2 linked regions of the Macaca mulatta genome follow. The protein of the gene in region 2 purifies or fractionates together with the protein of the main gene of each other region. This does not show direct contact. Links are inferred from orthologs where the notes say so. Each region holds a gene or a part of one and is shown on either strand. Other genes may lie near its edges.

Region 1 (7,786 bases), on a different chromosome or scaffold from region 2:
AAAAAAAAAAAAAAAAAAAAAAGGCCTATCTTATGAACAGAAAACCAACATCAGAAATACAGCACTGGCACAGCCTATTCCATTCACTGTATTATAAAATGTAAGAGGCACTGAGAACATGCATTAGAAAAAAATATATAAATTACCTCTACAGGGATCTCATTGCCAGGTGTTGCAGGTATACCAGTCATGAAGTCACTAGTAATAAAGGTTCGAATAACCACAGATCTCTGGCATGAAGGCTGCTTTTGAAGTGGGTCCCGATCAAAATGTAATGGTGTCAAAATCACCGGCATCTGGCTGATTTTCCCAGCATACCCTAGAGAAAGGTACATGTAGAACCAATCACCGCACCATAGAAAAGCACTCTCAGTTCAATTAAATCCTCCCAGACAATATCTGAAATCACATATACACACACAGTATAGTTAAGACTGTCATCATGCATTGATTCTAGCTACTCGCAGAGCATTTTAATTGGACTCAACCACAAATGCAAAAAACAGAATTTGATCACATCAGTGATGTTTCACTGATGTGCTATAGAAAGAGTCCATTCTCATTATTCTCTATTATAATTTGCAGTATAGTTATATTCTACACTGCAAACAATGAATTAGTGAATATTGAACCATTTCTCCCAGGGGATATGGAGGGTTAGGTCCCTGCAAGCCTCTGGTTGCAATATTTTCATCAACTGATTAATATATAACCTTGTTTTATGTATGTTTCTGATTTAAGACACTGTATTTAATATTTATTATAGATTCATTCATACTGAACTCAAAATCAACAGCTCTTTAACTCATGCCTGAATGAAGTTTATCTAACACACAGATTTTCTCTGTAAGGTACATCACAGCATTCCTGTGCTTAGGAACCCAGACAGCACTTCAGCACTATACTTGAGATCCATTTTAAACAGCAAAATCACTAACAAAAAGCATAAAAATGCAAAAGATATTTCATCAAGGAGACCATGAAAAAGACTTGTTCACCTTATGAGCGCTGGAACAAGAAGGCACAGTGTCACCTTGTTCAAACTCAGCTGGGAACATCTAAGTCTGGAAATTCAAATTTTCTGCTGCTCTGTGCATACCCACAAATTGCCACAAAGGTGAATATATTTTATTTAGAAGCAACATTATAGGCTAGGTGCAGTGGCTCACACCTGTAATCCCAACACTCTGGGAGGCCAAGCCTGGCCTCACCTGACTCCTGACCTTATCACCTGAGGTCAGGAGTTCGAGATCAGCCTGGCCAAAACGGCAAAAACCCCATCTCTACTAAAACTGCAAAAAAATAGCCAGGTGTGGTAGCGGGCGCCTGTAATCCCAGTTACTCAGGAGACTGAGGCAGGAGAATCACTTGTAACAGGAGGCGGAGGCTGAAGTGAACCAAGATTGTGCCACTGCACTTCAGCCTAGGTGACACAGCAAGACAGACTCTGTCTCAAAAAAAAAAAAAAGCAACATCATAGAACATTCAAAGATTTAAATAATAAAAACAAAAGCATCTAAAAAGCAAAAGCTACATCCTCCTACTCTTAATGTCAAGCTTCCAAAAACTAGTTTCAGAGGGTAGTGATCAAAAACATGAGCAACTTACCAGACTCCCTGAGAATGTTATGGGCCTCAAAATCTGCTTGGCGTAAAGTACTGAGCACCCCTGTTGTCAAGAAAGTGGGAGTAACATCTGTAGGAGGTTCTTTAACTGGTGGGCCAAATATATAAACAACTCTGGAAACAAAGAGGTAAAAATAATAGAGCAATTACATTTTAAATGTAGAAATTACATTTCAGTATGAGAAGCAAGGCACTTAGAACAGTAACATTCTTTCCATTTCCCACTTAGTTTTAGGCCCTTCTCCTGCCCACTTCATCTCCTCAAATGGATAGGACAACATGTAAGATTATAGGAAGGTCTGTGTTCTATGTGCTTTCCTCAAAGTGTGTTCTCTGGAACATTCTGTATCTCAGAATGTGCAAAGATATAAGTGATTATTACGACTCTCTTTTCACTTAACGTACTGGGTCAAAGAGTATCCCCAAAACTTCATGTCCACCCAGAATCTCTGGGGAGAAAAAGGGTCTCTGCAAATGTAATCAAGTTAAAATGAAGTAATACTGGATTAGGATAGGCTCTAATCCAATGACTGGTATCCTTTCAAGTACCGGAAAATTTGGATACACAGACACACATAGGGGAATGAGGATCATGTGAACACAAAGACTGACTGGATTATGCTGCCACAAGCCAAGCATTGTTAGCAACCATCCAATAGTAGGAAGAAGCGAGGAAGGATCCTCCACTAGAGTCTTCAGAGAGAATATGACCTCGCCAACACTGAATTCAGACTTCTGGCCTCCTAAACTGTGAGAGAATAAATGTCTGTTGTTTTAAGCCTCCCAGTTTCTGGTAATTTGTTATGGGTGGTCCTAGGAAACAAATACACATAGTTAAAATTTAAAAATAGGTGCCTTTATGACAAGACTTCAGAAACTATTAATATACTATGCTAACATGCACTGGAAATCTCCAAGAGGAAACTATAGTGAATTTCCCAAAATTAGTAAACTCATCTTTTTATCTACTTGAGAAACAATGATCCTAGAGAGATTCTCATTTGCACTTCATTAAAAGGGCCATTGAAATAGGACTTAGTATCCTACTACTTCCTTCCAAAAAAAAATTCATTACTGTTTTATATAAATGTCTGTTTGAAAGACATGAAGATATACCACAAATATCTTCATGTTAATGACAGTCAATGAGAGTACAGTTTGGAACATAACTTGAGGAAATCAGAATCAGACAATTTTAACAACTTGAAGTGTGTAGCTGGCCATTGGTTTGAAGGGATCTGTTTCACAATCTTCACCCAGAAAACAAGAGGGAATCAGGGTAAAGATATGAGTGCCACTTAGCTAGTTCTCCCTACTCCAGCCAGTAGACAATTGTCACTTTTCATCAGTCATGATTTTAGCAAAGAAAATAAAACTCCCTGGCAACTATCATGGTAAAGTTTAATGTTTTTTCTTTTTTTCTTAATATGTACTTAGGTAAAATACACAAAAGAAAACCATATTAGCACAAAACCACTGACACCACCACCGACTTTATTGTCTCCTTCCAAACATACTACAACAGAAGCAAGCTTTTTATCCCATGCATAGACAGTAAGTTATACTTTTTCTAAACAATATAGTTCCTAAAGCTCATAAAAGATCTTTAGAGGAAAAAGTTAAGAGAATACCATGAACCTGCTTTTTAAACCTTCTCACTTCTTACATACAAAATCACTAGAGTGTACTGGCACAGGTATTTACCCACACTATATATGACAGTAAAACTGGAACAGTCCCTTCCTGTACAAAGATTCCCTCATCCAAATTAGGAAAAAAACTGGCAAACATGGAAGAATATTTTAAAACTCCAATTCCCCAAAAAGACCCCGGCAAAGAAATCTAAAGTTCACCAAGATCTCTTTTTTTTGAGACGGAGTCTCGCTCTGTCGCCCAGGCTGGAGTGCAGTGGTGTGATCTCGGCTCACTGCAAGCTCTGCCTCCTGGGTTCACGCCATTCTCCTGCCTCAGCCTCCCGAGTAGCTGGGACTACAGGTGCCCGCCACCACGCCCAGCTAATTTTTTTTTTATTTTTAGTAGAGACGGGGTTTCGCTGTGTTAGTCAGGATGGTCTCGATTTCCTGACCTCGTGATCCTCCTGCCTCGCCCTCCCAAAGTGCTGGGATCACAGGCGTGAGCCACCGTGCCTGGCCAAGTTCACCAAGATTCTTTTAAGAGCTTGCTGGGAAAATCTAGTTTTTTGTTTGCTGATTGTTAGGCTTTTTATTTTTTTCTTTTTTGAGAAGGGAGGAAGGAAGAAGAGACAAATAGGGAAAAGAGAGAGAAACTGGAATATAAACATAAAGTTTAAATAAGGATGTGTGCCCTTCGGCAAAAGAAAAAGGAGATAAAACTGTAAGAATGCTGTGAATGAAGAAATACACTAATTATACAGTAAAAGTGTGCAGTTCAATTTAGGGAAATTTTCTCTGTGATAGGCAAATTATGAGCCACTGTTCTAACCAAGACAATTATGTCCACTCAAAATAGGCAATTAAAAATTTATCATTATTGAAGTTTTTTTGTTTGTTTTGTTTTTGAGAAAGGGTTTCACTCTGCTGCCCAGGCTGGATTGCAGTGGCACGATTTTGGCTCAAGGCAACCTCCCAGACTCACGCGATCCTCCCACCTCAGACTCTCAAGTAGCTGGGACTACAGGCACACACCACCATGTCTGGCTAATTTTTGTATTTTTTGTAGAGATGGAGTTTCACCATGTTGTCCAGGCTGTTCTCAAACTCCTAAGCTCAAGTGATCCACCATGCCTGGCCCCCATTATTGAAGACATTAATAATTCCATTTTTCAGCATATGAAAGATGCTTCTGTATTTGGGGGTCTTCAGTTCATTTGAGTAAGCTTTTGAATGAGCATGTTCCCATCGGTAAAAACACGGCTTCCCTGTAACTCCTTATCTCTAACTATACAGACTCTGCTAGGTTAACATTAAAAGGTAAGCTTCTGATTTCTGCAGCAATTTGAGCAAAATGAAATCTCAAGTAATTCTTTTTGGTTGTTAACTGCCTAACACCCATGAAGAAAATTGAAGAGAGAGAATAACCGTGAAATAAGAAAATTTAATTAGCAATCTAGTACAAAATAAGTGAATTTTTAAACTATATATGGTATGATGAAATTGAGTATTAGAAATAGATTATAAATCAGCTGTTGATATATCCAATGTAAGAAATTAATATGCAAATTAAAGGAAAATTAACCTAAAATGTAAATTATATATTTAAATGTAACTATTTTAATGCTATCTGGCACATGCCCATTTCTTCGATTTTTTCCTTGGGGTTACTACTAAATTAACCAAGTCTCCATTTTTGTTTGCGGGGTGGGTGGTTGGTTGTTTTGTAGGGGTGGGTGGGTGGGTGTGTGTGTGTGTTACTTTATTTGTAATTCTGTAACCTGGACATACATTTTTTCAGTCCTTCTGGAATAAAACATGTCACCATAAAACCAATAGCTAATATAAGCCACTAATGTAGAAGATAATGTTTTACAGCTGCCTTTAATATTTTACACTAAAATAAAAAATCTTTCTCCTTTAAATAATTTTTAACAGATGATTACATTGTGATGAAGAGTCAAAACACAAGATAATATTACATATCTACTTAACTGCGACCTATGTGCATATTTGAATTGCAAACACAGCCATTTACTCTTATCTACATGACCTACCTATATCTACATTTGAGCCTTTTGGTCTTTCATTAATGGAAAGCCCTTAAGAAGCACATCCTTCCATTACACATGTCCCCACCCTAGCTCCTGTGAAACACACCTGTTAACGTTGTGACACATGCGAGGTATAAGCCTAGCCAGAAAAATAAGTGATTCCCAGTCAGGTTCATCTTTACTGGAGATTCCACACACGTAACTGTAGGAACGACAGTCACCCTGAAAATAAAAAGATAATCAGTAATTTTTAACAGTCAAAAGTTTAACTTGACTTTAAACTTAAACTCGGTTTAACTTGACAATGCTGTTTTTTTTTAAAAGAAAAGATGCATTGAAAAATATCTTATGCATGGTGACACTATTAATAGTTTTTTTGAAATCTGAATGAAAGTATATACTAGATGTTTCTTTAATGGTATGAATAAATTCCAAATTAAAATCCCATATTAAATCCTACCTGAATCAGTTAAGACATACATAAGGTATCATGGTAATATCAAGAATTTAGGCTGAGCACAGTGGCTAATGCCTGTAATCCCAGCACTTTGGGAGGCCGAGGTGGGCAGATCACCTGAGGTCAGGAGTTCAAGACCAGCCTGGCCAACATGATGAAACCCCGTCTGTACTAAAAATATAAAAATTAGCTGGGCATGGTGGCATGAACCTGTAGTCCCAGCCACTTGGGAGGCTGAGGCAGGATAATCGCTTGATCCTGGGAGGCGGAGGCTGCAGTGAGTTGAGAGATCACGTCACTGCACTCCAGGCTGGGTGACAGAGCGAAACTCTGTCTCAAAAAAAAAAAAAAAAAAAAAAAAAAGAATTTATTCAACATTCCCATTACCTGCTAACTGTGGATAATTTGGCAGACAAGGCCAGGTACAGAAGCTCACACCTATAATTCTAGCACTTTGGGAGGGCGAGGTGGGTGGGTCAGTGGAGCCCAGAAGTTTGAGACCAGCCTGGACAACATGGCAACACCCTGTCTCTACAAAATATACAAAACTTAGCTGGGCAGTGTGGTGGCATGTACCTGTAGTTCCCGCTACTCAGGAAGCTGAGGTGGGAGGATCACATGAGCCCAAGGAGGTCGAGGCTATAGTGAGCAGTGATCATACCACTGTACGCTAGCCTGGGCAACAGAGTAAGACCCCATTTCAAAAATAAATAAATAAAATTATGAAAAATTGTAATTTGGCAAGCAACATCTGCCCATGTTTTTTGAGTGGATAAAGAATTCTTAAGTGGGAGACAAAAACGATTCATAAACATTTACTTATCAATGTGTTTAAGTATCAGCTTAAAAGCTAATTTTAAAATAAGTAAATAAAACTGATTATAATTTATTCTCTTTTCCTGTGTCCTGTTTAATCCAAGTAATTTGCTTTTTTTATGAAAAGCATTTTAAAAAGTAACAGATTAGAGAAGTACCTAATGCCCAGAGTGGCAGGTACTAAGAACGCGAAAATTCAACATATGTGAACGCTAATGTGATAGCATCTTATATAAATAAGTATAAAATGGGCCGGGCGCGGTGGCTCATGCCTGTAATCCTAGCACTTTGGGAGGCCAAGGCGGGTGGATTGCCTGAGCTCAGGAATTCAAGACCAGCCTAGGAAACATAGTGAAACCCCGTCTCTACTAAAATACAAAAAATTATCCAGGCATGGCGGCGTGTGCCTGTAACCCCAGCTACTCAGGAGGCTTAGACAGGAGAATCGCTTGAACCTGGGAGGTGGAGGTTGCAGTGAGCTGAGATCATGCCACTGCACTCCAGCCTGGGCAACAGAGCAAGACTCCATCTCAAAAAAAAAAAAAAAAGTGTAAAATGTACATTTAACACAGAAAATGATCCTATATAAATACATGAATAACTGATGGGATGCCTATATAATAAAAAACTGAGAACAGTTTAAATGCCCACTGGTTAGAAGAATAGTTAAATAAATGATGGTATGCATAGAATATGAGGGAACAGTTAAGAACAATCTACTTGGAAAGGCACAGAAAGGTAAGTTCATGATGCTCAGTTAAAAGAAAAGTTGACAATGTGTACCCCAAATCCCCTACTTTCTTTTTAAAGTGTTTCTGGAAAGACACATACAAAACTTAACTGGAGAGTAGAAATAAAAAGAATTTTTTTAATGTATTTTTGATTTTTTACAAATATGGTTTACTTCGGTATTTAGAAAATAAAATGCGTTCTTATACTAACCATGAACCATCATTTTTATCTGGGCTTGCAAGGGTCTAAGCTTCAAAGGGTAAGAGACGAAAGTCAGTTATCCAATAACAAAAGAAAATTTTATTTTGGTGGGAATAGTAGTAGAGCCTGAATAAGTTTCATTTTCAAAAAAGAAATCACTTATTCATCAAATTACCTCAAATATCTATTTTTTGTAACATTTCTCTAAAAAGAAGAGTAGGGAACTATTTCAACTCAACTCCCTGTGTAGCATGAGTTAGCATACAGACG
Region 2 (8,182 bases):
AGGAACCGGGCCACACAACAGGTGAGTAGCAGGTGAGCATTAGTCAGAAAACTTTGCCCAAGAAAGACGCATTCCAGAGAGAAATATCATTAAAATTGGATATTCCAAGGGGCACAGGAGTTGGCCAGTTTTCTAGAAGAATACTGAAAGCATAGGGCAGCCCAGCCTTGACCTTGCAGGGACAGAGAGCTCCAGGAACTTTGATGTTATCACTCGTCACTTACTGAGAACATGGACAGAAGGTGCTTCAGGTCCGTGAGGGTCAGAGATGCAGAGGTCCACAGAGCTACCCCAACCCTAGGAGAACTTTGTATTTCAAAAGCAGGTGTTCCATCATGGTAAGGAGGTAATATCCCCTCAGGCAGCGATCAGAGCCCAGATGGCCTTCTATCACCACAGCGGCTATGATGGGGAAGGCTGTAATGGGGAAGTACAGAAGATTCTTGACCTGGGTCTTCAGTCCAAGATCAAATATTTCAAATGGAGAAGAGGGGACAGCCCAGGCAGGAAAAAAACGTGCAATGTTAAAGACACGTTACTATTAATCATATTCAGAGTTATCAAGTATTTCAGGATTAAGGAACGAGGACTGAATGAGATAGACTGAGACACGGTTTTTTAAATTTTATTTTTTACTTTTAGGAAGTCTTTTTGCAAACCATACAAGATATAATAGAGATCTCATCAAAGATGACACCCTAGAGATGGAGAGGAGAAAACAAAACTTAAGTCCCATAAAGAAGGCAGAAACACGTTTTTGGTTGATCAAGATGAGTTTGGGCCAAATATAAGGAGGGAATCACAAAGCCATCTGGGGCAGGAATGTTGATGATGAAGTGACTTCCCTGCTAAAGCTCGCTTGCTGGGATCCAGATGCCTCTGCAGAGAGAAAGGTGGTTCAGAGTTCATGGGGAAAATAGGCAGGGTTTGTGGCTGAGAAGTGGTGCCAATGGGGAGAATGGCAGTGTCCAGAGAAAGCCATCAATAGTCAGTGGATCCTTGTGATCCAATATTCAGTGGACAGAGGGTTAGAGGGGCTGTGTTTCTTCCTCCGTCATTGAAACCAGGACTGAAGAAGGGCCGCAGAGGTCCTGTAAAGGCACATTCAGAGAAGGAGTAGATGAGGGAGCCATGGTCAGTGATGTTGTAGAAGGAGACCATGCCGGCCTCATAGTCCAGGAAAATCCCAATTTGGCATGGAGGCACCTGAAGGTGGAGGGGGGTCTGGGGGTAGGTGCCAGCCTCATATTTTTGTTTGTTCCACAACCAAATTGTCCAGAAGCCACTCTTGGAACTAAGCAAAAAGTGCCCCTTCCTGCGCACAGAGTCTCTGCAGACACCCAGGTCCCAGGCCTCCTTTCCTGTCACATCTACCTCCCAGTAATGTTTTCCAGAGTGGAAGTGCTGGGCACCCAGGACCATAGGATAACTATCAAATCTCTCTTCATTTCCAGGTATGCTCTGCTGGGTGTCTCCAAGCCTCACTTGTCTCCGATCTTCTGAAAGTATGAGCCATGGATTGGCTGTGTCTGGATCCAGAGTGATGTGGACTGCAGAGAGAGGACCATAGTCATGTCTTGCATGGGGGGAGTCACTAACTCTGTGCCTGTGGTGGGGGGATTTTGGGCAAGCATGAGGGGTCAACCTCCCTGTGTGAGGAAATGACCATCAGCCAGTTCTTGCCTTGGTCCTGACCTTTGAAGAAACCATCTTCCTTACCTCCATCTCTGCTCCCCCTGCTCTGACCTTCCATCTCTCCTCCAAGTTGCCATCCAGGCTCCCTGACCCTGGGATCTACTCTGCACCCCCATTATCCCCCGCAAAATTCCTAGAGCTTGCCTCACCTGCACATGTCCTCAGCATCTTCTTCAGCCCTGGCACATGGCACACACTCCTGAGTTCTGGAGAGGCAATATCCAGGCCCTTCAGGTTCCAGGACTCACTCCTGGGGGAAAGAGAGTTTGAGACTCCTGTCTCTTACTCCTATCCCAAACCCTAACACTATAACCTCCATTGTGGAGGAGGACTCTGATAATTTAATTCAACTCAAATTTACAAACACTTCTGGTGTTCAAGTCTTCAGGGGTGGGTGTGAGAGGCAAACAATGCAGGATTTAGTTTCTACCCAGGAGTTCCTGGTTATAGGCTGCAGCATGTGGACAGTCTGTCTCTCCTCTCTAAGCCTGAGGTCACCTGGCAAATGCATTCAATTTCATTTTATAGGCAATCCATCTGAGACAGGCTGAATCACTTCTGCAAGGAACCTCAAGGAGTCTTGCCCACACTGTGGGTCTGACTCATGGCTCTTTTTGGGAGGTAACTTGTTAGATTCCACTGAGAAAAGGAGTTCCAGCTGGCCATGCTCCAGTAGTCTGAATTCTGGAAAGACCCAGAACTTCCCAGGATTTCCCTGTTTGGCAGGGCTTTACTGTGTGAAGATGTTACGATCCAACTACTGTGGGCAATCACCAACTAAGATGTCCACTTATTAGCTTTCTGAGACCAGAAAATATTTTATAGACAATGAAGTCTTTGAGAATAGGAAGCCAGATGGGGAAAACTTCAGTGCATGTATTTCTAATTCAATAACCTTTGTCATAGGCATATATGCTTTCTGCTGGCCCCTCTTCTAAAAAAGAAAACTCCTCCTTACCTTTCCAGGACAATTATCACCTCCTGAGGAGAAAAGAGACACAGAGTAAGTTCTGGATTGCTGGATTGCCACTGAGACATTAGCCCTGTGGGTGATGTGATCCATCTGTGGTCCCTGGGGAACTGTTCCTTTCCTTCCTCTGGTCCAAAGCCCCAAAGATGATTCTGACCAGCTTGAAGCAGAAAGGATGTGTGGATGCTTGTGAGGTAACCAGAAGCCCAGCATGGATGTGACCTACAGCTGGGGAAGGATTATCAGTTTGAGGACTCTGACTCAAAGACCAGATTTTTTTCCCCCAGGGTAGAAAGAAAGGAGGGCAGAGAGGGCACATAGCCCAGCTTGGCTTAAGCCCAATCACAGGCAGAGAATGGCCAAGTTCAGGTGTCTAGAAACTGCTCTGTTCCATTTGTGGGCTAGCATTGCTTGGGAAGGAAAGGTTGGTTAGTTAAAGTTCCCTTGGGTACTTAATGTTGCCCCTTCCTGTATGTGAAACCAAATCACTGAAAATATTTTTGTTATAGGGATTGGGAGCCATTACATGGGAGCTAGCAGGATCCTAGACTCAGTTAAAAGTATGTTAGAAAGCCTGGTTCATGGCCAGGCATGGTGGCTCACACCTGTAATCCCAGCACTTTGGGAGGCTGAGGTGGGAGTCTGAGGTTGGGAGTTCAAGACCAGCCTGACCAACATGGAGAAACCCCATCTCTACTAGGGATGCAAAATTAGCCAGGTGTGGTGATGTAAGGCTGAGGCAGGAGAATCGCTTGAACCCGGGAGGTGGAGGTTGCAGTGAGGCAAGACCGCGCCATTGTACTCCAGCCCGGGCAACAAGAGTGAAACTCCATCTCAAAATAAATAAATAAATAAATAATAAATAAATAAATAAATAAATAAATAAGAAAGCCTGGTTTGGGCAGAAGAGAGCCTGTCAAGTCAACCCAATACAATTAGGTTTTCTGCACACACCAGAAAGCAATGGCTCATGACCACGCTGAGTCACAGTGAACAGGGGTGAAGAAAGAACTGTAGAATGTTAGAACAGAAGGGACTTGTGAGACGATCTAGTCCATCATTTCGTACAGTGAGGCAAACATATCATTGGTGGATGCAAGATGATTCTAAGTGCAACATACATTGATTTTTAAAAAGGTCCTATACTTATTTTCATCTTTACTTTGTGCCTTGAATGCAAACCATTCGTGGGTTTGAATTCTACTTTATTTAAGAACATTCCAGGGACCAGGTGTCCATTTATTCGAATGGCAGTTCCAGATAGCTCTGGTCTTTTTCAGTTATTCCCGGAATAGTAGAAGGGAACCCCTCCCTGTCTCACCTGCAGCAGTTCCAGTGCTGAGCCCTGGCGCCTTCTCTCTAGCTCTGAGATGAGCTCCTGCAGGGCCTGGCTCTGTTGGGCCAGTTCGGCCTCTTTCTCCCCTAGGATTCTCAGCTGCTCCCTCTCATCCTTCTCCAGCTCCTGCAGCTGCCTCTGTTCTTCTTCAACCAGGAAGTTTTTTTGCTGCACAAACTCTGCGTGAATCCTACATTTCTGTGTCTCCACCGTTTTCTTTAGTGTCAAGGGAAAGAGAGAGGTGGTTTTTATGAAAAGCTCCCAAACTTTGGGAATGGAGGTATTGGTACCTATTCCTATTCCCCAAAGACTCCACTCTGGTGTTGTCTGGGAAAACACACGCACACACACACAAGCATGTGCACACACACACACACAATTTTGCTTGGGAGGTAGGTGAAGTTTCCGGGACAGTGAGGGGAATGGACTTGGTGAGGGCACATTGTAGCTGGCCTACAACCACAGCTACACGGATATACGGCATTGGGGACTTTTTCCAACCTCTCTTCCAAACCCAGTCACCACTCAAATGTGCCCCTGTGTCTTCCTGTCTCAGTGAGTTACTGAGAAAAAAAACACCTGTTCCCACCTCCAACAACCTCACAAAGCCAGGCTGACACCACCACCTCCAAGTCCTGGGAAAGGGGGCTTGGGGACATTCTTTGCTTTTCATCTCCTGTTAGTAACTGGAAGGTCACTCGATGACATGAGGGTCTGTTTTGTCACCACAACCCAACTCACACCCTACCTCAATCCCAAATGTTTCTTTTCTGGGATCTACTGGGGATGGGCTCCTTCCTCTCCCCTCTCATCCCCAACATGCTCCACGTCTCCTTGGAAATGATCAGTGCAGAACAAACATGGATTCTTCATTATATTTGGGACCAGAGATCTGGTCATGGTCAAGTAACCACCTGGTCAGATGGTTTCCTTAAGTCTATTCCTCACAGCCTTGTCATTTCCTGAAAGGCTTAGCTAGCAGTTGGGTTTCTCCTAGGATATTTGTCTCAGACATCCAGGTGCTGATGCCGTCACACCTCTGAGACTAGACTCAGAGGAGCTCAAAACTTTAGGGTATAGCTAGATCCTCTCAGCACCTTCTTCCAGGATTCTTGATCTTCAGGCCTGATGGGGAGCTCCCCTTTGAACCTGCATCATTTTTATTCCCATCTATCTGTAAACCTAGAGAGCAGCTGCTTTCTGGAGAGTGAGACGGACCAACTCTATCACAGCTCAGACAGGCACAGCTACAGTTAAGGCTGTGAGTTGAGGACCCTGGACCCTGCCCAACCTTCTAGCCTAAGATCCCCTTCAGGATGTCATTCTTGCCTTCCAGTCTGCTCTCTTCATTGCAATTTCCACTTCCAACTTCTCAGCCAACTCCTGCTTTCTTCTCAGTTCCCCTAATGCCACCTGGAGCTTCTCCTGCAGAGAAAGACAGCATATTAGTCCCCATGCAAACCAAGTAATAGGGTGGGGTAATCCTTGCAGCATTTTCTCATGCATATCGCCTACGCCTGGAGAATGAGGTTGGGTTTAGCTTATAATTCTCCTTCTACATTAGACATGGAGAGAGGTAAACTCCTCCTTTCTCTAACTTCTCCAATCCAGAGGTGGTCCTCTCCCATTCCCTGCTCTGAAAGCAAAGCACTCACCAGGGCCCATCTTCTTTCCTCCTGTTTGTGTCTCTAAGGCCTCACCTGGTACTCCTGTGCAGCCTCCTCAAGAGGGACCATGGTGTGGTCACGGTGTTTCCGAGATTGGGCACACACCCAGCAAAGGGCCTTCCCATCTTTCTCACAGAACAGGTGAAGTCTCTCTCCATGCACTGCACACTGTTCCTCCTGTGCACCCTCTCTGGCTTCCTGGCTGATTTCTCTAAGGTTGTCCACCATGTTGGCTAGTTGTCGATTGGGGCGGAGATTCCTGAGCAGAAAGTGCTGCCGGCACACAGGACAGACGCTGCCCCCATCTTTCCCAACCCGAGAGATGCATTCCTGGCAGAAGCTGTGGCCACACTCGATGCTCACAGGCTCCACGAAGGGGTCCAGGCAGATAGGGCACGTGACCTCCTCCCACATCATTGTCAAGCGTGCTGCTGAAGCCATTGTCAAGCGTACTGTTAAGCCCTTTAGTAGGGCTGGCTGGGAGGAAAAAGAAAGGGAAAAGAAAATATGAGAAAGTCTGTGTAAGAAAAACAAAAAGTCAACATAATCCCTATCAAAATACCAATGACATTCTTCACAAAAATAGGAAAAAAAATCCTAAAATTTATATGGAATTACAAAAGACTCAGAATAGCCAAAGCTATCCTGAGCAAAAAGAACAAAACTGGAGGAATCACATCATCTGATGTCAAATTATACTGTAGAGCTAAAGTAACCCAAACAGCATGGTACTGGCATAAAAACAGACACATAGACCAGTAGAATAAAGAACCCAGAACAAATCCGTACATCCACAGTGAGCTCATTTTCAACAAAGGTACCAAGAACATACAATGAGGAAAGGACAGTCTCTTCAAAAAATGCTGCTGGGAAAACTGGATATCCACGTGCAGAAGAATGAAACTACACCCCTATATCTCACCATATACAGAAATCAAATCAAAATGGATTAAAGACTTAAATCTAAGGGCTCAAACTATTAAACTATTACAAGAAAACATTGGGAAAACTCTCCAGGACATTGGACTGGGCAAAGATTTCTTTCAAATACCCCACAAGCACAGGCAGCCAAAGCAAACTTGGACAAATGGGATCACATCATGTTGAAAAGGCGCTGCACAGCAAAGGAAACAATCCACAAAGTGAAGAGACAACCCACAGAATTGGAGTAAAAATTTGCAAACTATCCATCTGACAAAAGGTGAATAACCAGAATATATAAGGAACTCAAACCACTCTATAGGAAAAAAAATAATAATCTGATTCAAAAATGGACAAAAGATATGAATAGACATTTCTCAAAAGAAGACACACAAATGACAAACAGGCATATGAACAGTTGTTCAACATCATTATCGGAAAAATGCAAATCAAAACTACAATGAGATATAATCTCATCTCAGTTAAAATGCCTTTTATCCAAAAGACAGGCTATAACAAATGCTGGGGAGGGTGTGGAGAAAAGGGTACACTCACGCGCTATTGGTAGGAAGGTAAATTAGTACAATCACTACAGGGAACAGTTTGGAGGTTCTTCAAAAAACTGAAAATAGGGCTACCATATGATCCAGCAATCCCACTGCTAGTATATACCCCAAAGAAAGGAAATCAGTATATCAAAGAGATATCTACATTCCCACGTTTACTGCAGCATGTTTCACAATAGCCAAGATTTGGAAGCAATCTAAGTGTCCATCAACAGATAAATGGATAAAGAAAATGTGGTACATATGCACAATGGAGTACTATTCAGTCATAAAATATAATGAGATCCTGTCATTCACAACAACATGAATGGAACTGGAGGTCATTATGTTAAGTGAAATAAGCTAGGCACCAAAAGACAAACATTGTATGTTCTCACTCATTTGTAGAAGCTAAAAATTAAAACAATTGAACTCATGGAGTTAGATAAAATAGAAAGATGGTTACCAGAGGCTGGGAAGAGTAGCAGGGAGGGTGTGTGTGTGTTGGGGAAGGTGGGATGGTTAATGAGTACAAAAGTGGAGTGAATTAGATCTAGTATTTGATAGCACGATAGAGTGACTATAGTCAATAATTTAATTGTACACTGAAAACTAAGAGTATAATTGCATAGTTTGTATCACAGATGATCAATGCTTGAGGTGATGGATGCCCTATTTACCCGGATGTGATTATGACACATTGTATACCTGTATCAAAATATTCCATATACCCCATAAATATACCTACTATGTGCCCACAAAAGTTAAAAATAAACTAAAAAAAGAAGAAAAACAAAATGACACAAAGGAAAATAAAAAAGAAAAATAAAAATAATGAGTCAGGCACGGCGGCTCATACCTGCAACCCCAGCACTTTGGGAGGCTGAGGTGGGTGGATCACCTTAGGTCAGGAGTTCAGTTCAAGACCAGCCTGACCAATATGGTAAAACTCCGTCTCTACGAAAGATACAAAAATTAGCTGGGAGTGGTGGTGGGCGCTTGTAATCCCAGCTACTCAGGAGGCTGAGGCAGCAGAATTGCTTAAACC

The links. Proteins that work in one complex are often made in the same cells at the same time.
Region 1: the proteins of TRIM21 (region 2) and GMPS purify together in Homo sapiens (affinity purification with western blotting; 3 studies listed by BioGRID). This does not show direct contact. The link is inferred for Macaca mulatta from reciprocal best matches to the Homo sapiens genes TRIM21 and GMPS.

The regions. Positions count from the first base shown.
Region 1 is NC_133407.1:59,117,570-59,125,355, reverse strand, and holds part of GMPS (GMP synthase [glutamine-hydrolyzing]), read right to left. Parts: intron 5,533-7,786; coding exon 5,417-5,532; intron 1,740-5,416; coding exon 1,609-1,739; intron 320-1,608; coding exon 147-319; intron 1-146. UniProt on the Homo sapiens protein: Catalyzes the conversion of xanthine monophosphate (XMP) to GMP in the presence of glutamine and ATP through an adenyl-XMP intermediate.
Region 2 is NC_133419.1:71,537,805-71,545,986, reverse strand, and holds the end of TRIM21 (E3 ubiquitin-protein ligase TRIM21), read right to left. Parts: intron 6,146-8,182; 5' UTR 6,110-6,145; coding exon 5,702-6,109; intron 5,427-5,701; coding exon 5,331-5,426; intron 4,218-5,330; coding exon 3,987-4,217; intron 2,677-3,986; coding exon 2,654-2,676; intron 1,946-2,653; coding exon 1,845-1,945; intron 1,551-1,844; coding exon 982-1,550; 3' UTR 610-981; downstream 1-609. UniProt on the Homo sapiens protein: E3 ubiquitin-protein ligase whose activity is dependent on E2 enzymes, UBE2D1, UBE2D2, UBE2E1 and UBE2E2.